3 linked regions of the Struthio camelus genome follow. The main gene of each other region encodes a partner of the protein of the gene in region 2 in a complex. Links are inferred from orthologs where the notes say so. Each region holds a gene or a part of one and is shown on either strand. Other genes may lie near its edges.

Region 1 (5,614 bases), on a different chromosome or scaffold from region 2:
ACCAGCAGACCTCACTGTGTATCTCCCAAGGTTGACCCATCCAGTACCTGCATCTAGAAGTCACCCCTGACACCCCCCTCCCAAAAAAAAACATCCGTGATGGCTTGTGTCCTGCCATGTCACCCTTCCAGCTGATACCGGGGAAGTTCAAGCCCCCTCCTTGAGGACCAGGGTCCCCCATGAGGATACTTCCTCCAACTGCTTCGAGAAGGCTTCATCCATGTCCTCCTCTGGGTCGGTGCTCTGTAACACCCCTCCCACCGTGCCGTCCCGCCTCGCTGCCCTCCCCTCCAGGCCTGGCCCAGCTGCCGTTGCCCCGCAGAGGAGCCCCACACCCCGAGTCCCTCCCGCGCAGGACCACCCCGCCGGTGCCCCGGCTGCCAGCGTCTGGGCACGCACACCTCGGGGGCCCTTGCCCTGCTTGGCCGGTCTCGGGAGCCCCTCTTGTTCCCATCACGCTGCCCCCCACCACAGCCACCACCACCTCCTGTCACGCCGGGGCGGCGGGGTGCAATCCCTCCCGGGCACAGCATCCCCCCCCCGGCAGCGGGGCCGGGCACAGCCCCCTTCCGCCGGTCCCCGTGTGCTCGGCGCTGCCGGCCCCGCTGGTCCCGGCCCCGCGCAGCCCCCGCCCCGCACTCGCTCAGGCCGCGGGTTTCCACCACGTTTATTACAAAACCGGAGCCGGCCCGGCGGCGCCTGCCGACCCGTCCCGGGGCCGGTACCGCGCCCGCCTGCCCCGGCGGCCGGGAGGGGGCGGTTGCAGCGGGCGCAGCCCGGTGCCGGTGCCGGCGGGGCGGCCGGTGCGGCGCTCAGCGGCCCCCGGCGAGGAGGAGGATGCGGCGGCGGCGGCGGGGCGGCCCCTCAGCGGCCCACGGCGTCGAGGATGAGGCGGTTGTCGTCGGCGCGGGCGCGCTGGCTCTGGGCGCGGGCGAGCAGCAGGAGGTGCCGCAGGAGGTGGAAGGTGAGGTCGATGGAGAGCGGCGGCTCGTCCCGCCGCGCCCGCCACGGCTCCCGGGGCGGCGGCGGCAGCGGCGGCCAGGCCGGGCGGCCCCGCGCCTCGGCCCCGGCCCCGGCCGCTGCCCCCGGGACGGCGCCGTCGGGGCGCGCGGGGCGGGCGGCGGCGGGCGGCGGCGGGCGGGCGAGCAGCAGCAGGAGGGTGAGCAGCGCCCGCCGCATCCTGGGCTCCGTCCGCACCTGCGGAGCACGGGGCGCGTGGCGGGCACCGGGGGGACCCGCGGCCTCGGCGTCCCGGGAGGCTCCCGTACCCAGGAGCCGGAGGGGACACGGAGGCTTGGGGACCGGCGCCCCGGGGGCTCGTCCCGCACCCGGTGCACCGTCCCCGGCCCCGTGCACCCCTCCCTACCCCGTACACTGTCCCCAGCCCCGTGCGCCGTCCCACAGCCGGTGCAGCGTCCCCAGCCCCATGCATCGCTCCCTGCCCGGTGCACCCTCCCTTGCCCGGTGCACCGTCCCGCAGCCCCGTGCACTGTCCCGCAGCCCCGTGCATCGTCCCCAGCTCCGTGCACCGTCCCACAGCCGGTGCACCGTCCCCAGCCCCATGCATCGCTCCCTGCCCCGTGCACCGTCCCACAGCCGGTGCACCGTCCCCAGCCCCATGCATCGCTCCCTGCCCCGTGCACCGTCCCACAGCCGGTGCACCGTCCCCAGCCCCATGCATCGCTCCCTGCCCCGTGCACCGTCCCATAGCCGGTGCACCGTCCCCAGCCCCATGCATCGCTCCCTGCCCCATTCACCGTCTCACAGCCGGTGCACCGTCCCCAGCCCCATGCATCGCTCCCTGCCCCGTGCACCGTCCCACAGCCCCGTGCAGCGTCCCCAGCCCCGTGCACTGCTCCGCAGCCGGGGCGCCGGGCGCTGTCCCCAGCCCCGTGCATCGCTCCCTACCCCGTGCACCGTCCCACAGCCGGTGCACCGTCCCCAGCCCCATGCACCGCTCCCTGCCCCGTGCACCGTCCCACAGCCCCGTGCAGCGTCCCCAGCCCCATGCACCGCTCCCTGCCCCGTGCACCGTCCCACAGCCCCGTGCACCGTCCCCAGCCCCGTGCACCGTGCCGTACCCGGTGTGCGGTGCCCTGTCCCGTGCCGGAGCGCTGGAGGTGGAGCAGAGCGCGGTCGGTCCCGCGGGAGCTGAGCCGGCGGCGCGACCGGTGCTGATATAGGGCCGGGAGCTCGGGCTGACGTCAGCGCCGGGCACGCACCGGCCGACCGGGGGCGGGGGGGGGGGGGCGGCGGGGAGCGCGGAAGGGGCCCCGGGACGGCGGCGCCCCGGGGCCGGCCCTGCGCGCACCGGCAGAGGCTGCGGCGGCCGCGCCCGCCTTGCCGTTGCCGCCTGGCCCGGAGGGTGCGGGCCCCGCAGGTGCCGAGCTCCCGGGGGTGCCGCCCCGGCCCCCTGCACCGAGCGCACCCCCCCGTCGGGCGGCGGACACAGCCCGACGGTTCACTACAGCTGCACCCCCGGTACACGGAGCCGTCCACCCGTGCACCCCGGCCCCACTCACGGTGCACCCCATCTGCCCCCGGTGCACCCCTCCCGACCCCTTAGTTCACTGCGCAGCACCCCGGCCCCACCTCCGTGCACCCCTCCCGGCCCCCGGTGCACCTCATCCCCACCTCCGTGCACCCCCCCCGGCCCCCGGTGCACCCCATCTCTACCTTCGTGCACCCCCCGGCCCCCCGGTGCATCCCGGCCCCACCTCCGTGCACCTTTCCCGGCCCCCGGTGCACCCTATCTCCACCCTGGTGCATCCTCGCCCCCCCGCCCCGGTGCATCCCATCCTCGCCCTCGTGCACCTTTCCCGGCCCCCCCCTCGCCCGTGCACCCCATCCCCGCCCTCTTCCACCCCCCTGTCCCCCGGTGCACCCCATCTCCACCCTCGTGCACCCCCCGGTGCACCCCATCTCCACCCTCGTGCATCCTCGCCCTCCCCCGGTGCATCCCATCCTCGCCCTCGTGCACCTTTCCCGCCCCCCCCCCCCAGTGCACCCCCATCTCCACCCTCGTGCACCCCCGGCCCCCCGGTGCACCCCCTCCGCCCCCGGTTGGCCGCGCGGCCGCGCACCCCCACCCGCCGCGGTGCCACTGTCCGCGGTGCTGAAGCGGCAGCGGGGTGGGCGGGCCCGGCCAGGGCCGTGCGCCCGGGGCCCCCATCCCGTCCCGTCGCACCTCGTCCCATCTCGTCCCCTCCTGCCCCATCCCAGCCCATCCCGTCCTGCCCCATCCCGTCCCATCCCGTCCCGTCCCACCCCGTCCCATTCCACCTCGTCCCATCCCGTCCCATCCCATCCTGTCCCATCCCATCCCACCTCGTCCCATCCCATCTTGTCCTGTCCCATCCCATCCCATCTCGTCCTGTCTCGTTCCAGCCCATCTCATTCCACCTCGTCCTGTCCTGTCCCATCCCATCCCATCCCGTTCCGTCCCATCCCACCCAGTCCCATCCCATCTCGTCCCGTTCCACCCCGTCCTGCCCCATCCCATCCCATCCCATCTCGTTCCATCCTGTCCTGTCCCGTCCCATCCCATCCCATCCCACCCAGTCCCATCCCATCTCATCCTGTTCCACCCCATCCCATCCCACCCCATCCTGCCCCATCCCATCCCACCCCGTCCCGTCCCACCTCGTCCCATCCTGTCCCATCCCGTTTCATCCCATCCCACCCAGTCCCATCCCATCTCATCCTGTTCCACCCCGTCCTGCCCCATCCCATCCCATCCCATCTTGTCCCATCCCATCTCGTTCCATCCTGTCCTGTCCCGTCCCATCCCATCCCACCCAGTCCCATCCCATCTCATCCTGTTCCACCCCGTCCCATCCCACTCCATCCTGCCCCATCCCGTCCCACCCCACCTCGTCCCATCCTGTCCCATCCCATCTCATCCCGTTCCACCCCGTCCCATCCCACCCTGTCCTGTCCCATCCTGCACCGTCCCATCCTGCCCCGTCCCATCCCATTCCGCCACACCGGCCCGGGCTGGCAGCTTGGGGCTGCAGCGTGCCGGCCATGGGCTCCTCTGTGGGGCCCGGCCCGGGGGGGGGGGGGGCACTGTGCCCAGCTCCCGGGGGAGGCACCAGACTCAGCACGTGGCAGGTGGCAGCAGTGGGGACCATTCCTGGGGGATGACAGACCTCAGCCACCGGGCCTCCCAACACGGGACAGCTACGGGTCAGGCACATGCGACCCGGCGAGCAGCTCTCCCACCCAGGCCAGTGCGGCCCAGCCAGGTGGCACCGTGCCCCTGGCAGCGCTCACAGGTGTGGAGGTCAAACTGCCACGCGCTCTGAGGGCCAAGCTCTGCAGACAGCCCAAAACAGCAAGGAAGCACCACTAGCCAAATAGCTGTGACTCATAGTGCGAAGGCACCGCGAGCCCACGGTGCTGCTGGTGCATGCAGGATGTTCCAGCTCTGGGCACCAGCCACTGCTGCCAAGAGGCAAGGGTGGTTGCTGGTGCACTGCACGGCTCTTGCAGGCCCTTGAACGCTGTGGCCCTCCCTGCAGCCCTGAACTTTGGCCTCGTGGCACTTTGTGGCCAAGGGGAACCACTTTGCCACCAGCTCCAATGCCAGTGCTAAGATGGGCTCTAAGTGGGGTCTTTTCACAGTGCAGACCTTTTGCAGAGCCTGGGGCAGTGGTTCACCCTGGCCGTAGCACCGCGTTTCCCACATACAGCTGTGCAGATGCAGTGGGGCACCATCCTGCCCACAGCGAGGCAGCGCACAGCACCATATGGCCCCCGACACGGAGCTGGCGTGAAGCCTGGCACCGCCTTTCCCGCAGCTCTGGTGCAGAGCCCAGCAGGGCCCGGGCCGACGCTCCCAACGCCTTTGCAGTCCTGCCTTGGCAGGGCTGGTGGTCCCAGGCACAACTGCCCAGCTCGTGCCGTGCTTGTAGCTCGCTCCCAGGGACCGCGCCAGGCCCTTCCTGCTGCCCCAGGCACAGCCGCAGGCTGCACACTCCTGTCTGCAGCCCCTGACCGCTGCTCAACATGACCCCCCCCCCCCCCAGTGGGCCCAGGATGAGGGGCCCTAACGTGTCCAACCACCTGGGCACGAGGAGGGTGTTTCTCTGCCAGGGCTATCATGGGGGCAGGTGGGGGGGGTGCTAGGTTGCTGGGCCAAGGGGGCTGCTGCAGCTCCGGGGCTGCGCAGCGCGTGCTGAGCCGGCGGCAGTGTGGGCAGGCGGCTGCTGCACGAGGCTCTGGGCGGTGGTGGCCGGCTGGGCAGGCGGTGCTCGGTGGCTGGACAGGCAGTCCTGGAGCTGGAGCCTCTCTGTGGCCCCTCAGGCACTGAAGGACCTGCAGATAGGAGGGCTCTGTGGACCCCGGCCCTGCGCAGGGTGCACTGTGCAGGTCTCATCTCTCACACGCATTGCTTTGGGCCTATCTGCTTGACCTCCATCTGCCATAGTCTGGACCAGCCCCTTGGTCCAGCTGCAGTCCTCCAGCGCCAGCCTTGCCGGCTTGTGTCCGACTGTTAAGTTCACTGCTGCCTGTGCTCCAGCAAGAAATGCCCCACGGCCGCTGCCGCGCTCTTCGCAGCAAGCCTGGGTTGCAGCCGTGCAGGATGGCTGTGGCAGCCACCACCCTGCCA
Region 2 (7,643 bases):
GGCTGAAAGTTTAATAGCATAGATACAAGCCATTCCCTGGCATTTGGCCTCAAAGCTAGAGGAATGGTCCTGGGACTTTTTAGTTTATTGGTAGAGCTGTAACCTAACAAGAACAAAACTGAACAAACGTGGAGCTGATAGCACATGCTCTGCAATGAGATCCGCACACCATCTTCCTCCCCTAGCTTCAACGGAGGCACACAAGAAGTAAGACAGAAAGAACTGTGGTCTAGTTTGCTATACAAGGGCCACAGAGTTTAGAGGACTTAGTCATTATTTCTCCCCAGCTATTGATGGAATAGTAAAATATAAGCAGATGCTTTATACCAACAAAAGCTGAAGGCTGCTTGTTTTCTAGCTGACAGCCACTATGAATATCATGGCAAAACTACCAATCAACATCAATCACCCTTTTTTCCTTGCATACAACTGTCTCCTTCAAATGTACAGCAATTACCACAGGATGGCTACAGTTTTCAACCCTGCCAAAGTGTTACACCAGCAGAGGCGTCTCATGATGAGACATTTATGCTGCATTAATTCACAGTAGGCCTGAATTTTGGCAGTCTCAGACCAGGAATATTACTTAACTCGTCACCACTGGCTGATATATTCAAACTGCTCTGGCTATTTTAATAGTTTCAGGAGAGCATATGGAATTATAGCAAACTTTGCTTTTGTTTTTGACAAATCTTTCCCCTTCCCCCCAAATATGTGAGCTTAGCAAGGACTCTATATCAAAATGTCAAAGGACTCAATTGCCTTTGTTTTATGGTTTGTTTGTTTGTTTTTCACATTCAAGTATATGCATTTTCCACTGTATCATATGTACAGAAACCCTCTGGAGAACATAAATCTCAGAGCCCGCTGTGTAAGTCTTCACCCTTCTGCTGACCAGCCCTGAGAAATCTGACAGATCATTTGCACCAGCACTTTCATGTGGCAGATCTAATTCTGTACTAGAAAGTTGCCTCGTTTCTTAAGTGTTGCAAATTTGTAGTTCCTATAAAACACAATTGTTCAGTTGCTGTAAAAACTCAAGCTTCCTTTATGTAATCATATAAGGGTTTGCTCCCACAAGCAGCAGCTATGTCTTTTCCCAAATCCAGAAATGTGAATAGACAACATTGACTCCAAGTTAACTTTCAAGTGTTTGCAAGTTATACCTGAACTTGAGAGCTTTGGATATGAGCCAACGTTTTTAAAGGTTGCTCTTAAGCTTCAGGGTGCAAAATTTTGTCTAAATTAAAGCAGAGATACAGATTTGCCAGCTACATTCATGGATGAAAACAACCCCAAAAGAAGAGTAAAAGCTCCACATTTCTTATAACTGGAGCAACAGGAGTGACCTGTACATACGGCTGAAGATGGTGTTCAAGCACATTATCACAACATACAGCACAAACATACACACGAGTGTGTATCAGACACAAATGTGCTACATCCAGACACACTCCTCCACATAAGCACACTCAGAATACACTCAAAATATACATTTCTCTCAGAATAAAAGGATTTTCTGGAAATGGCATTTTGATTCTTAATCTGCGCTACTTTGAAAACAAAATCTTTCTTTCAAGGAAGTTGTTTTGTCTTTAAAGAAGCAAGCCAACCACCAAAATTTACATAAATAATCCAAATGCAAAGTTACGGAAAACTGAAAATCTGTCCATAAATTGCATCTGGAGTGGAAACGCACGACATAATTTGATTCACTGAAAAAGGATTAGTCTGGCAACTCTGGGTACCTTTGGCTCTGTCAGCCTCACTGGCAAGAAGTCTCTCATAGTTTAAAACATAAACTAAACTATTTTTCTGGAGCTGGGGAAAGCAACAAGGGGAAACAAAACTCTAGAATTGAAGAGGGCAGAAGCAGAGACTAAGAAGAAGTGAGGTTTGCAATTGAAAACAGCAAGTGTGTAGACAGGCTCATGCCACTCTGATCCCATGTGCCCTGATCTCTGACTGGTAAAAAAGGCATCAGCGAAGCTGAGAAAATGCTCTCTCTTCCAAGATCTAGAAAGTGACTGCGAAGCTCTTAACAAGAAGTTGTTTTCCTTTCGAGCCTCTTGCTTTCCCAGACCTGGCTTCCCTTTACCCTTCTTTATAAAGTTAGATAACAAAACAAGATAGAACAGGTGACAATAAAACAGCTTTTCTTCCTTTTTTCTAAGGGGATATTGAAGATGGGCCAATTGCACTACAAGCCAGAAGGACCACTGCCCCCTTTTTTAACGCTACAGCAACAACTGTAACGAATTACAAGCAAGATCAATGTATCTCCTGCTTAATCTCTCACATTTGCTTTGCAAGTATCACTCAACATGCGTAAAACTATCACTTAAAACAAACAAGCCACCAAAAAAGTTGGTCCAACTTTGGAGCCTGGGCTAGGAAAGATTTTTTAAGCCCAGGCTGACACAGGCCGCAGAGCAAACACGACACTGGATGCAAGGGCTGAGCCCTGTCCTTCACCACCACTATTTATTTGCGTATCCCTACGGCGAAAGAGTAATGGGACACTGAGCGCACGCGGCGGGGAGAAGGAGGTTGGCTGTGGGTGGGAGGCTGAGGATGAGGGGAAGCACCTGGGCCACTCGTGCTCCCGCTGAAGTGGAGAGGTGGCAGGAAAAGCCCTTTCGTGTGGGGCAGGGACAGCCTTTGGGGCTGGCGCTGCCACCCCAGGCGGGTCCCCACGCTGGGCCTTTTCACCAAGGGAATCAGGGCGTGGGGAAAGGGGAAGCAGCTCCTTCCCTGACAAGGGGCTGCCCAGAGAGGCCATGCCTCAGCCTGGAGGCTCGGAGGGGATCATGTCGTTCCCAGCGGTGACCAACCACCAGGACGGAGTCTCTCAGCGCCCAGCGATGGGGCAGGATGGTGAGGGAGCCGTTAACGGCTACGGGGACGGGGTCTCTCAGCGCCCGGCGGGATTGCGAGGGAGCAGGTAACGGCCGCCAAGAGAGGGTCTCTCAGCACCCAGGGATGGTGCGGGATTGTGAGGGAGCAGTTGGGAAACAGCCTCCGGGATGGGGTCACCCAGTGCCTGGAGACGGAGGGAGTGGGCAACGGGCACGGGGAGGGGGTCTCAGTGGCCGGCGATGGGGGCGGGGTCTGCGAGGGAGCCGTTAACGGCCACCGGGCCGAGGTCTCTCAGGGCCTGGAGACGGAGGGAGCCGTTAACGGCCGCCGGCACAGGGGGTCCCTCAGCGGCGGGCGGGACCCGTGAGGAAGCGGAGCGCAGCCACCGCTCCCTCCCAGACCGAGGGGGTTCCCCGCAGTGGTGGGGCGTCCTCGTCCCTCCTTCCCTGACTCCCCTCTCCCCCCGCCTCGCCCCTCCGCGCCACCCCCTCCACGGCCCCAACGGGCCTCGGCACTTACGGGCAGGAGCAGGAGGGCGGCGGCGGCGGCCGCCGGGAGGCTGCGCTGCGGTGCCCGCCCCGCCATGAGGCCGGCGGGGCCCAGGGGGTCTCTCCGGGGCTGGAGCTGCCCGCTCAGCCGGAGCCTCCGCAATGCCCCGGCTCTGGCATCTCCCCCCCCCCCCCCCCCGGCCGCTGCCCTTGACCCCTGCCCGCCCGCGGAGGAGCCAGCCCCGGCGCCGCCGGCGCGTCCCAGGGCAAACCCCCGGGAGGGAGGGAGGGAGGGAGCCGGGCGGGGGAGCCAAACCCGCCCTCCGCCCGGGACGCCTCGGGGATGGAGGCGGCTAGAGGAGCCCCCGGGGACGGTGACCCCCCCCAAAGCCTCCCGGAGCAAGGGAGAGCTCCCTCTCCGGAGACCCCCCCCCCCACACACACACACTGAGTGCAAGAGGGATCTCTGCCCCACCTCCGCCGACGGGCACTAGCTGCAGTAGGGACTCCACTGCCCCCAACCCGCCAGCAGCAACGGGGGTCAGCCCCTGCCAAGCGCTAAGTGCCGTGGCGATTCCCTTCCCCAAAGGGTTGGTTGAAACGGGGGATGCCTCCGATGCAAACCTCCAGAAGTAATGGGGACCCCCCCCCCCCACACACACACACATAACTCTCCAGGAGCAATGGGATTCCCCCTTGCTCTAGGTGCAACGGGGACCCTGCCCCACAACCAGGTGCAATGGACGTACCCCTAAAAGCCTCCAGGGGTAATGAGAATCCCGCTCCCCCTCCCCAGCATTAGGTGCAATGGGGACTCTATCACCAAGAAACTCTTAGGATCAACAGCGTCCCTCACCGCCCAGGGTGTTGGTGCGCTGGGGACCTCTCACAAGCCTCTGCCTCAAAGGGGGAATTCTCCCTGGTGCTATCTGTTAGAAGAACAACCTGACAAGTCTCCTGGAATAGTGGGGATCCCCTGAGGACTAGATGCAACGGTCCTAGGTGCAATGGGGACCTGCCTCTCCATGATAACCAGAAGCAAGTCCTCTTGGGTACCCCAAGAGCAAGGGGGCTCTAGCTTATCCTTTACCAAGTTCATCAGAACACCTCCCCTCAAATCTGCGGGCGCACGGGGATACTCTTTGCTATTCGTTAGCTGCAATGGGGAGGCTTTCCAGTCAGCGTCCTAAGCGTAGAGCACTCCTTGTTTGCCTTGTGAGACTCCTCAACTGCACCTCTCAGCTGGGAACAACCTCCAAGCCAGGCAAGCCAAAAACAGCCTGCGTGGCTGTTCCTTGTGCATTTGATCTCCATAAAGAGATCTCTGTCCTGCTCTTCTCATCCATGAATACTTATCAGACTGGACCCCTAGGCCAGCAAAGGCAAAACGAGGTCACCCCATAGCCTCATGCCATGCGCACCCGGACACCCTTGCCCTAGGGGCTCCTGGCCCTCTGCTCTGACTCCTCACCCCTCTGCTCAGGGTGGCTGTTGGTGCTAAATGAACAGGAGTTTTATGGATTTGGACACCAGACACAGTTGGGGCCCATAACTCCTGTACCTAAAAACTAATAACTCCCTGCCTTCTGCATCCAGATAGGTCTGTCCATGCAATGGATGCATTTGTGGTATTGTTAGACTGCCAGCATCAGACTCTGGGCTGCCCAGTATTAGCATTAAGCCTAGCAGGATTTTCCCTCTCCACTCAGTCTCATCTGCCCAGAGGACAGCCAGCTGCAATGTGAATCACAATCAATATCTGCTCACAACTGCAGCTGGGACTGTCCCCAAAAGCTGATCTGCGTCCACAGGCAGTGCATGAACCTCAGTTATAATTCTGGAGCAGAAACAGGTACAACCTGTTCCTTCCCAGCCCCGTGCTGGATTTCAGCAGGGAGCAGTGTCACATACTGTCACCTCTAATGGGGAAAGCCTGCCCAGGTCACCTGTTGCCAATGGTCTTCTTTCAGGGAGGTGATGCCGTTTCCTCCCTGAGACACTCCCTGCCCACCAATCCTCTATTTTTTATTTATTTTTTAACAAAATTGATTGGCATGAGGTTCATAGTGGCACAGAGGAAAGAGTCCCTTTTACACAACAAATCCTCAGGGTTTGCATAAGCTTAGCAAGCCTCACTTAGAGCCAGAATAACTGGATATCTTTCTTTGAGGGCTGTTGAATTATTTTGCTTTTTGAAGTTTTCTCAGAAAGGTATAAACCAGCAACTTCTCATCCTCACAACAAAGAGGCTTAAGTCTGTAAATCCCATTTAATAATGTCACTTAATACAATGTGAATCTCATAGTAGGGAGATGTGCAGTTACATACAATAGTGAACCTGGAATACTCCTCCTAACACACCAGCAAAAGTTTTCAAAAAGCAGTATTATTTTCTCTTTTCCTTTGGCTATTCAACGGTCTGAATGCATTTAAATATTTAAGCTTGCCTGGTTCTTCCTCCCCTGTCAGTTGCACACTAATATTTGTTTCCTTTTGTTATTAAAAGAAAACAAAACCATAAACCCAAAGTTGTATGCTTCCAATTAATATGAATGCTTTCATGAAAATGCAAAAGAAGAAATAAATCCAGCAGTTTTTTATTGTATTTAAATATCCACCTCCAGGACTGGAAACACACATGCAACAGGATTATGTGAATGCACGAGAATCAGCAAAGGAAGCCTGAAGCTGCACATGCATAGACATAGGTCAGCTGCCCTGAAATCAGAAAGGTTTTTCACCACGCTGCTCCACAGCTTTCTGTTATCATTTATCTATGTTTATTGCACTATCTAGAACCAAAGCCTTATAATGGTAAAGGCTGCACTGAAACAGAACAAAACCGCCCTAAATTGTGACTGTCTAAGGATTAAACAAGTCATTCCCTCAGCCTCGTTTCCAGGGCTTTTTCCCTTACAGCTGATTGTGAACTCCAGCCAAAGCTTTTCATTGATGGGGTTGGTTATAAGGTCACTCTCCGTCGGATCTCCTTTTTTTACTTAAGGGCTGAGCTTGTGCTGCAGCTTTTCTTTCAATCAGCACGCTCCTGGGGACTCTTCTCCCAACCATCTCTTTCTATAAAACTTGCAGGAACATTCACCATAGCTGGCTTTATGAATGAAATCGGTCAAAGAGTTAAAATGGAGACAGAGAGACATCTGCAGACACAGATATATACACACACACACAGGTGCATGTAGATGTGACATATAAGCCTTGCCCTTTTATGAAAAAGAATAAGAAACATCAGGTCAGTACAGAGAGACTCAGGAATGCAGGAGAAGAACGTGACAATTTTGATCAGTCTGATGGAGAGAGGCTGCATATGGGATCATGGCATGGATCCAATTGTTCAGTTCCTGCCTAAATGACTTTCAGATATTTCTTGCAATTGTGCCCATACAAGGATGACTTCCCCTTGTTTGTTTAGGAGGGTTTCACTTCTTAAAGCCTGAGTCCTGAAAGGACTTATCTTCAACTCCAAGCCTGCAAGTATTCCCACTGCTGTCAGCAGCCAAACCATACAGACAACATTCTCCCTGGAGGGAGGGCACAGCCAGCTCTTGGTGTAACATCTAACACAGTAAAGGCCTTGCCATGTATGGAACCCTGAGAAGTTCCTACAGTATAACTAAATAATTCCCAAAAAAGTCATAATAATAATAATGAGGACATCCCACAAGATATAAGTATCCAAAGGGTGGAATCAGAATGAATAAGATGCCAACTTTGTATCACTGAAATGTTAGACAATCTCCCAGAGGGATGAGACATTTTTCAGCAAGAGTGGAAGAAACCATCAGGAAATATCAAATGTCTCTATCCAGGTAAGACCCAGAGTTTGTAGCTCTCTTCCAAGGATATGTTCCCAGTGAAGCGATGAGACGGATAACATTGCTGGACTACTGATCTGCGAAGAACACCGTAGGTGTTCGGTTCATCATAGGAGTCAGTTTACGGGGACTAAACTCTAGTTGCTGCATCTGTCCTATGAGTACCCTGAGTAAGCATGCTCCGTATCTTCTCTGAAGCTGGGCCTGGACTGAAAAAGTCCTGGGATCAGAAAGAGATGAACATGTGGTGATCACAGACATGGGTGGATGCAGAGTGGTGCTTGCACTTTATACTGGACAATCGTTGGATAAAAACATCCAAACAGTCTGGGTTCAGTTTCTGGCATTCGTCTCAACCTTGACCTAGGCTGTCTACACTCAGCACAAAATGCAGGTTTCACTCCCATTGTCAGCATTCGAATAATGCAGGCTCTTTGGGAAGGTGGACAGACTGACTCCGTAT
Region 3 (7,807 bases), on a different chromosome or scaffold from region 2:
GCAGGTCTTCCCACCCCCATATTTAAGGCTCCAGAAAAGCATCAGCTAGCAATTGAAGGCCAGCAGAGGATACGAAGGTGGCGGGAACCCTCTAACACAGTGAGCATGAGGTGGAAAAAGCATCAGCAGATAAAGGATTCATGCCATACCCAGCCTTGTTACAATCATGATTCAACTGGTGTTATGGAATTCCCCCAGCAACTTCCACTCTGTTTACACAATATCTTCCGTGCAGGGGATGCAAGGGTCAAATCTTACGTATGATTAGCATACTTCCATACTTTCATCCCACAAGCAACAGCCAAAGGATACACCACTGACACTTCTGTTGAGTACTTTTGCTCAATTTTCCAAAATTTGCTATTGATATGCATTTAACAGAAAGCTAATCCAGAATGATAGCTCTTTATTATTAAAGTGGCCCAACTCACTTGATTACTAAGAGCAAAAAACTAAAGCGTGGCTCCTAAGCGACAAATCCTTTTGACCTGTGGTTACAAACAAACACGCTGGCAGAACCCTGGCTTTCACCACAGGAACCACCAGGTAGTCACCTCACACCAGGGGACAGATATATTCAGACAGGATCTCATTCGTCACAACACACAACCACTACTCAGAGGTAGATTCCCAGTTACCCATGTTTATAGTACCAGGCTAAAAGACAAACAAATAGATATGCTCAAATACAAGCAGCAAAAGTGTAACTAGAAGCAGTGTGTTTAAAATAGAGAGTCAAACTCTCCCCGTCTCTGAGAACTGATGGGATTTTTGGCAGCCTAATTAGAAATTAGCACCATAACCACCATTATCCTGCAGTAAACTGTCTCTATCTGAAACAGAAAGCTTCACCACGAAGGGGGAGAGAAAGGGGAAAAAAAAAAATAATCAGAAGTTCGGAAACCGAAATCTTCTGTGGTTAATACACTGTGGTGAGAAATACTTCCTTGTTTTTTACCACAGCAACCAAAACAGAAAAAAGAAAAAAAGATAGAGGTGCCTCAAAACGTTCTGATAACAAAAACATAAAACAAACTTCAGCAGCATTCATTCACTTCAGATCTCACTTACTTCAGAACTTCAGAGTTCAAACACAGATTCTTCCCAACGCTTCATCATCACTCCCCTCTTAAAAAAAAAGTGCCTCTTGCTTTTTTGCAGGCCATCAACAATACAGAACAGCACCACAGCAGAACATTACAAGCTCTGCTGAGTGTAGTCGCCTATATTCATAAGGACACAATAACTTTTTTTAATTTGACAGCATTGAGCCAAGGAGACAACCTGAACCCACCATTTTTTCTGTCAGCATGTGAAAGCTGTAGAGTTTCCAGTAAGTTACTACTGATCCTCAAGTACCTGACAGCCACCTGTAAATATATTTATTCAGTCAACAGTATTCCACGCTTAATCATAATTCAAGAATCAGATTAATTTTTGTTTAAAACAGCCCCCCTACACACGCACATCCAGTAAAGAGAACAATGATTGCCTAATACCAGGGGGTATGTCCAGTACCTTGAAATCACATTTCTCACTATCAGGTTCATCGTACAGCTCTGTTATTCTTCACCTCAAGTTTTAACTGTCACACTAGACAGAGAAGACAGGAAAAAGTTACTACAGCTTCTACAGTGCAGAAACTCCCTCCACACACATTCTTCTCAAAATACTGAGCGTTTGGAGAAAGCTCTCTCTAACATGATCGTTCACGTTTGTGAACGTAAGAATACTACGTAACAGAAACGAGAAACAAGAAAACCCTACAAACGGCAGTTCTGTCAAGGAGAGAGAACATACATTACCTGCAACAACTTAAGACAGGCAATGAGCAATACTGCATACAGTGAAAAGCACCCTGCAAACAGGAAAAAAGGCTTGGTCTTTCTAATCATGTCCTGAAAATGGGAGTGTTAGTTATTCAGTCTTAACCATCCCACATTGATTTTTTTTTTATTTTTTAATCTGATGCTGAATCTTACTTAAGTCTATCTTTTAGGAAAAGAGAAAGGTCTCTAGAGCAACTTGAAGTTAATTTCTGAAGTGAACCAGTTTAGCGAGATTAGATGGGGATCTTCTTAGCCCATATCTGGCCTATGGCTCCAGCCTACTTCAAAACAAGTGCTTCTGTAGGACTGTAGGTTTTAAAGAAGTATCCGAGTCCAAGAGACACCTTTCCCAGCCTACAAGAAGCCTTATAGAAACCAGCACAGCATCTTCAAAGAACACAAATGTGAAGCCCTCAGTTTTCTCTTTCACCTGAAGGACAGTAGTATATCCACAGCCAAGGTATCTTCTCACTCTGAGTTCTAGCAAGGTGAGAAGGAAAGCCATAGCCTTTACTTAATAAATATCTCTATGCCACCATGTCAGTGCTACAGATCTCCAAAGGACTGGGCAGATACAGCCTCGCATTTGTTTTCACAAGGCTCAACCTACTTTTTCACCTGTGCCTTACAGGTTTGCCAGTTCAGTACAGACTACAAATGAATAAACTTATTCCATCAGACCTGCTTCACGTTCCAGTTTGAAATGATGCCACTATTGAGACACAAACCAGGATACATACGTGAGCAGTGATGAATTCCAGTACCCACGAAAACTGTAACTTAAGTCTCATTTGGAAGCTACCTGGGAGTGAACATCACAGCAGATGCTGAAGAAGGATGCACGTTCTTGAAGCCTTAGCTGGTTGCTCTTGTAACAGACCACCTCTCCCTGCAATCCTTTTGTAAACCAGGTATAGCTATCGCTCTGTACAATGGCGGGACACCGCTATGTTTCTACGCCAACTCCTACACCCTCATCACAGCGCAGGGGACCTCCAGCCCGGCAGGTAACGCTCAACGCCTGGCCCGCGCCCCGCCAGGTCTGCCAGAGCGGGCCAGCGGCGGGCTCGGCGCCTCGGGAGCGGCAGGCCAGCCTTCGCCCAGCCGCTCGCCCACGGCCCAGGCGTGGGCCGGCCAGGCCGAGAAGCGCCGGGGCACCGCCGAGGCCCGCGGGCGCGGGCAGCCTCGGACGCGCCTCCCCGAGGCGATTTCCACGTGCGCCCGCTGCGCCGGGACCGCCGCCCGGCCCGGCCCGGCCGCTCTCACCCAGCAGCAGCAGCTTCAGCTCGCGGCGGGCGTCGCGCTTGTCCCTCCGCAGCTGCTTCTCGATCTCGGCGTTGATGCGCTTCGACTCCTTCACCTCGTCGCTCAGGCAACAGGCCATCATGGACTCCAGAGTCATGGTCCCGCCGCCGCCGGGACGCCCCCGCCCGCCCCCCACCCCCCCGCCGCCCACCGCCCTCCTCCGCACGCCGGGGCCCGGCCCGGCCCGGCCCGGCGCGGCCTCGCGGCCCGCTGCCCCCTCCCCACCCTCCCGGCCGCGGCCCGGCCCGGCGCGGCCCCGGCCTCGACCCCCCCGGCCGGGCCTAGCGCCGCCGCCGCCGCCCTCAGCGCGCTGCCCTCGGCCCCGCCGCGCCGCCCGCCCGCCGCTCCCTCCTCTCACACCGCCCCGCCGAGCCAGCGACGAGCGGGCGCAACGCAACCCGCTGCCGCTGAAAACAACCGCTGACTGACGGCCGCGAGGGCCACTGGGGATGCGCGGCGCGGCCGCGGGGCGGGGCCAGGCGCGCCGGGGGCAGGGCCCCGCGGCCAGCCGGAGCGCAAGCTTGGTTGGCCGGTCGGGGGAGGAGGGCGCGCGGCCGCGCGCTTCGGGAGCCGGGGCGTGGCCGCGGGGCATTGTGGGACGGTGGAGGACGCGGGGCGGTGGCGGCGGCGGCGGCGGGCGGGGCCGGGCGGGGCCGGGCCCGGCGGGGGGGCGGTGACCGGCCTGCGGGGCCCAGGGCTCGGCGGCCGCTTCGGGCCGCGGCCCGACCCTTCCCTCGGCCCGGAGGGAGGGAGGAGGCAGGGCCGGGGCGCTGCTCGGCCGCGGGGCCCGGTGCTGCCCCCTCGGCCGGCGGCCGCTCCCGTGAGGGCCCAGCTGCCCCCGCACGGCGAGGGGAGCGTCGTCCTTGGCCTCCTGCCCCGCTTCCCGAAACGAGCCGCAGCCCCGGCCGCAGCCGGCGCCGCCACGTCCACGAGCTGCAGCTCGCGGCCTGGCGAGGGGCGCGTCGGCCTCGGCCGGGCCCTCCGGATCGGCACGTGCTGCGGCACACGGCGCTGGCGAGGGGCGCGTCGGCCTCGGCCGGGCCCTCCGGATCAGCGCATGCCCCGGTACATGGCGCTGGCGAGGGCGCGCGTCGGCCTCGGCCGGACCCTCCGGATCGGCACGTGCCCCGGCACACGGCGCTGGCGAGGGGCGCGTCGGCCTCGGCCGGACCCTCCGGATCGGCACGTGCCCCGGCACACGGCGCTGGCGAGGGGCGCGTCGGCCTCGGCCGGACCCTCCGGATCGGCACGTGCCCCGGCACACGGCGCTGGCGAGGGGCGCGTCGGCCTCGGCCGGACCCTCCGGATCGGCACGTGCCCCGGCACACGGCGCTGGTGAGGGCGCGCGTCGGCCTCGGCCGGACCCTCCGGATCAGCGCGTGCCCCGGTACATGGCGCTGGCGAGGGCGCGCGTCGGCCTCGGCCGGACCCTCCGGATCGGCACGTGCCCCGGCACACGGCGCTGGCGAGGGGCGCGTCGGCCTCGGCCGGACCCTCCGGATCGGCACGTGCCCCGGCACACGGCGCTGGCGAGGGGCGCGTCGGCCTCGGCCGGACCCTCCGGATCGGCACGTGCCCCGGCACACGGCGCTGGTGAGGGCGCGCGTCGGCCTCGGCCGGACCCTCCGGATCAGCGCATGCCCCGGTACATGGCGCTGGCGAGGGGCGCGTCGGCCTCGGCCGGACCCTCCGGATCGGCACATGCCCCGGCACACGGCGCTGGTGAGGGCGCGCGTCGGCCTCGGCCGGACCCTCCGGATCAGCGCATGCCCCGGCACACGGCGCTGGCGAGGGCGCGCGTCGGCCTCGGCCGGACCCTCCGGATCGGCACGTGCTCCGGCACACGGCGCTGGCGAGGGCGCGCGTCGGCCTCGGCCGGACCCTCCGGATCGGCACGTGCTCCGGCACACGGCGCTGGCGAGGGCGCGCGTCGGCCTCGGCCGGACCCTCCGGATCGGCACGTGCTCCGGCACACGGCGCTGGCGAGGGCGCGCGTCGGCCTCGGCCGGACCCTCCGGATCGGCACGTGCTCCGGCACACGGCGCTGGCGAGGGTGCGCGTCGGCCTCGGCCGGACCCTCCGGATCGGCACGTGCTCCGGCACACGGCGCTGGCGAGGGGCGCGTCGGCCTCGGCCGGACCCTCCGGATCGGCACGTGCTCCGGCACACGGCGCTGGCGAGGGCGCGCGTCGGCCTCGGCCGGGCCCTCCGGATCGGCACGTGCCCCGGCACACGGCGCTGGCGAGGGGCGCGTCGGCCTCGGCCGGGCCCTCCGGATCGGCACGTGCCCCGGCACACGGCGCTGGCGAGGGGCGCGTCGGCCTCGGCCGGACCCTCCGGATCGGCACGTGCTCCGGCACACGGCGCTGGCGAGGGTGCGCGTCGGCCTCGGCCGGACCCTCCGGATCGGCACGTGCTCCGGCACACGGCGCTGGCGAGGGGCGCGTCGGCCTCGGCCGGACCCTCCGGATCGGCACGTGCCCCGGCACACGGCGCTGGCGAGGGCGCGCGTCGGCCTCGGCCGGGCCCTCCGGATCGGCACGTGCCCCGGCACACGGCGCTGGCGAGGGGCGCGTCGGCCTCGGCCGGACCCTCCGGATCGGCACGTGCCCCGGCACACGGCGCTGGCGAGGGGCGCGTCGGCCTCGGCCGGACCCTCCGGATCGGCACGTGCCCCGGCACACGGCGCTGGCGAGGGGCGCGTCGGCCTCGGCCGGACCCTCCGGATCGGCACGTGCCCCGGCACACGGCGCTGGCGAGGGGCGCGTCGGCCTCGGCCGGACCCTCCGGATCGGCACGTGCCCCGGCACACGGCGCTGGCGAGGGGCGCGTCGGCCTCGGCCGGACCCTCCGGATCGGCACGTGCCCCGGCACACGGCGCTGGCGAGGGGCGCGTCGGCCTCGGCCGGACCCTCCGGATCGGCACGTGCCCCGGCACACGGCGCTGGCGAGGGGCGCGTCGGCCTCGGCCGGACCCTCCGGATCGGCACGTGCTCCGGCACACGGCGCTGGCGAGGGGCGCGTCGGCCTCGGCCGGACCCTCCGGATCGGCACGTGCTCCGGCACACGGCGCTGGCGAGGGGCGCGTCGGCCTCGGCCGGACCCTCCGGATCGGCACGTGCTCCGGCACACGGCGCTGGCGAGGGTGCGCGTCGGCCTCGGCCGGGCCCTCCGGATCGGCACGTGCCGCGGCACACGGCGCTGGCGAGGGCGCGTCGGCCTCGGCCGGACCCTCCGGATCGGCACGTGCCCCGGCACACGGCGCTGGCGAGGGGCGCGTCGGCCTCGGCCGGGCCCTCCGGATCGGCACGTGCTCCGGCACACGGCGCTGGCGAGGGCGCGTCGGCCTCGGCCGGACCCTCCGGATCGGCACGTGCTCCGGCACACGGCGCTGGCGAGGGCGCGTCGGCCTCGGCCGGACCCTCCGGATCGGCACGTGCTCCGGCACACGGCGCTGGCGAGGGCGCGTCGGCCTCGGCCGGGCCCTCCGGATCGGCACGTGCTCCGGCACACGGCGCTGGCGAGGGCGCGCGTCGGCCTCGGCCGGGCCCTCCGGATCGGCACGTGCTCCGGCACACGGCGCTGGCGAGGGCGCGCGTCGGCCTCGGCCGGGCCCTCCGGATCGGCACGTGCTCCGGCACACGGCGCTGGCGAGGGCGCGTCGGCCTCGGCCGGACCCTCCGGATCGGCACGTGCTCCGGCACACGGCGCTGGCGAGGGCGCGCGTCGGCCTCGGCCGGACCCTCCGGATCGGCACGTGCTCCGGCACACGGCGCTGGCGAGGGCGCGTCGGCCTCGGCCGGGCCCTCCGGATCGGCACGTGCTCCGGCACACGGCGCTGGCGAGGGCGCGCGTCGGCCTCGGCCGGGCCCTCCGGATCGGCACGTGCTCCGGCACACGGCGCTGGCGAGGGCGCGCGTCGGCCTCGGCCGGGCCCTCCGGATCGGCACGTGCTCCGGCACACGGCGCTGGCGAGGGCGCGCGTCGGCCTCGGCCGGGCCCTCCGGATCGGCACGTGCTCCGGCACACGGCGCTGGCGAGGGCGCGCGTCGGCCTCGGCCGGGCCCTCCGGATCGGCACGTGCTCCGGCACACGGCGCTGGCGAGGGGCGCGTCGGCCTCGGCCGGGCCCTCCGGATCGGCACGTGCTCCGGCACACGGCGCTGGCGAGGGGCGCGTCGGCCTCGGCCGGACCCTCCGGATCAGCGCGTGCCCCGGTACATGGCGCTGGCGAGGGCATGTGTCGATGTCGGCCTCGGCCGGACCCTCCGGATCGGCACGTGCTCCGGCACACGGCGCTGGCGAGGGCGCGCGTCGGCCTCGGCCGGACCCTCCGGATCGGCACGTGCTCCGGCACACGGCGCTGGCGAGGGGCGCGTCGGCCTCGGCCGGGCCCTCCGGATCGGCACGTGCTCCGGCACACGGCGCTGGCGAGGGGCGCGTCGGCCTCGGCCGGACCCTCCGGATCAGCGCGTGCCCCGGTACATGGCGCTGGCGAGGGCATGTGTCGATGTCGGCCTCGGCCGGACCCTCCGGATCGGCACGTGCTCCGGCACACGGCGCTGGCGAGGGCATGTGTCGATGTCGGCCGGACCCTCTGCCCCAGCTGCCGGATCAGTGCGTGCTCCGGCACGCTCTGCTCATTCCCAATCTCCTCCCAGGAGGAGCGGGACA

The links.
Region 1: the proteins of CRHR2 (region 2) and UCN are in contact, whole or in part, in a cryo-EM structure (PDB 7TS0), measured with the Homo sapiens proteins. The link is inferred for Struthio camelus from reciprocal best matches to the Homo sapiens genes CRHR2 and UCN. Residues at the interface, in NP_001874.2 of Homo sapiens: Phe68, Asn69, Gly70, Val71, Tyr73, Ile101, Leu102, Asp103, Asp104, Arg107, Asp110, Tyr113, Leu117, Asn120, Trp166, Leu169, Gln170, Val172, Asp173, His174, His177, Glu178, Thr188, Phe191, Asn192, Phe199, Phe256, Gly257, Lys258, Asp265; in NP_003344.1 of Homo sapiens: Asn84, Pro85, Ser86, Leu87, Ser88, Ile89, Asp90, Leu91, Thr92, Phe93, His94, Leu95, Leu96, Arg97, Thr98, Leu99, Leu100, Leu102, Arg104, Thr105, Ser107, Gln108, Arg111, Ala112, Asn115, Phe119.
Region 3: the proteins of CRHR2 (region 2) and GNA11 are in contact, whole or in part, in a cryo-EM structure (PDB 7TRY), measured with the Homo sapiens proteins. The link is inferred for Struthio camelus from reciprocal best matches to the Homo sapiens genes CRHR2 and GNA11. Residues at the interface, in NP_001874.2 of Homo sapiens: Arg148, Tyr208, Leu209, Ala212, Ile213, Thr216, Glu220, Lys293, Lys307, Ala311, Phe358, Tyr359, Phe362, Asn363; in NP_002058.2 of Homo sapiens: Arg37, Ile348, Leu349, Asn352, Leu353, Glu355, Tyr356, Asn357, Leu358.

The regions. Positions count from the first base shown.
Region 1 is NC_090944.1:1,023,997-1,029,610, reverse strand, and holds UCN (urocortin), read right to left. Parts: upstream 1,180-5,614; coding exon 865-1,179; downstream 1-864. UniProt on the Homo sapiens protein: Acts in vitro to stimulate the secretion of adrenocorticotropic hormone (ACTH). Binds with high affinity to CRF receptor types 1, 2-alpha, and 2-beta. Plays a role in the establishment of normal hearing thresholds.
Region 2 is NC_090943.1:5,457,987-5,465,629, reverse strand, and holds the start of CRHR2 (corticotropin-releasing factor receptor 2), read right to left. Parts: upstream 3,530-7,643; 5' UTR 3,445-3,529; coding exon 3,379-3,444; intron 1-3,378. UniProt on the Homo sapiens protein: G-protein coupled receptor for CRH (corticotropin-releasing factor), UCN (urocortin), UCN2 and UCN3. Has high affinity for UCN.
Region 3 is NC_090967.1:7,834,877-7,842,683, reverse strand, and holds the start of GNA11 (guanine nucleotide-binding protein subunit alpha-11), read right to left. Parts: upstream 3,339-7,807; 5' UTR 3,232-3,338; coding exon 3,096-3,231; intron 1-3,095. UniProt on the Homo sapiens protein: Guanine nucleotide-binding proteins (G proteins) function as transducers downstream of G protein-coupled receptors (GPCRs) in numerous signaling cascades.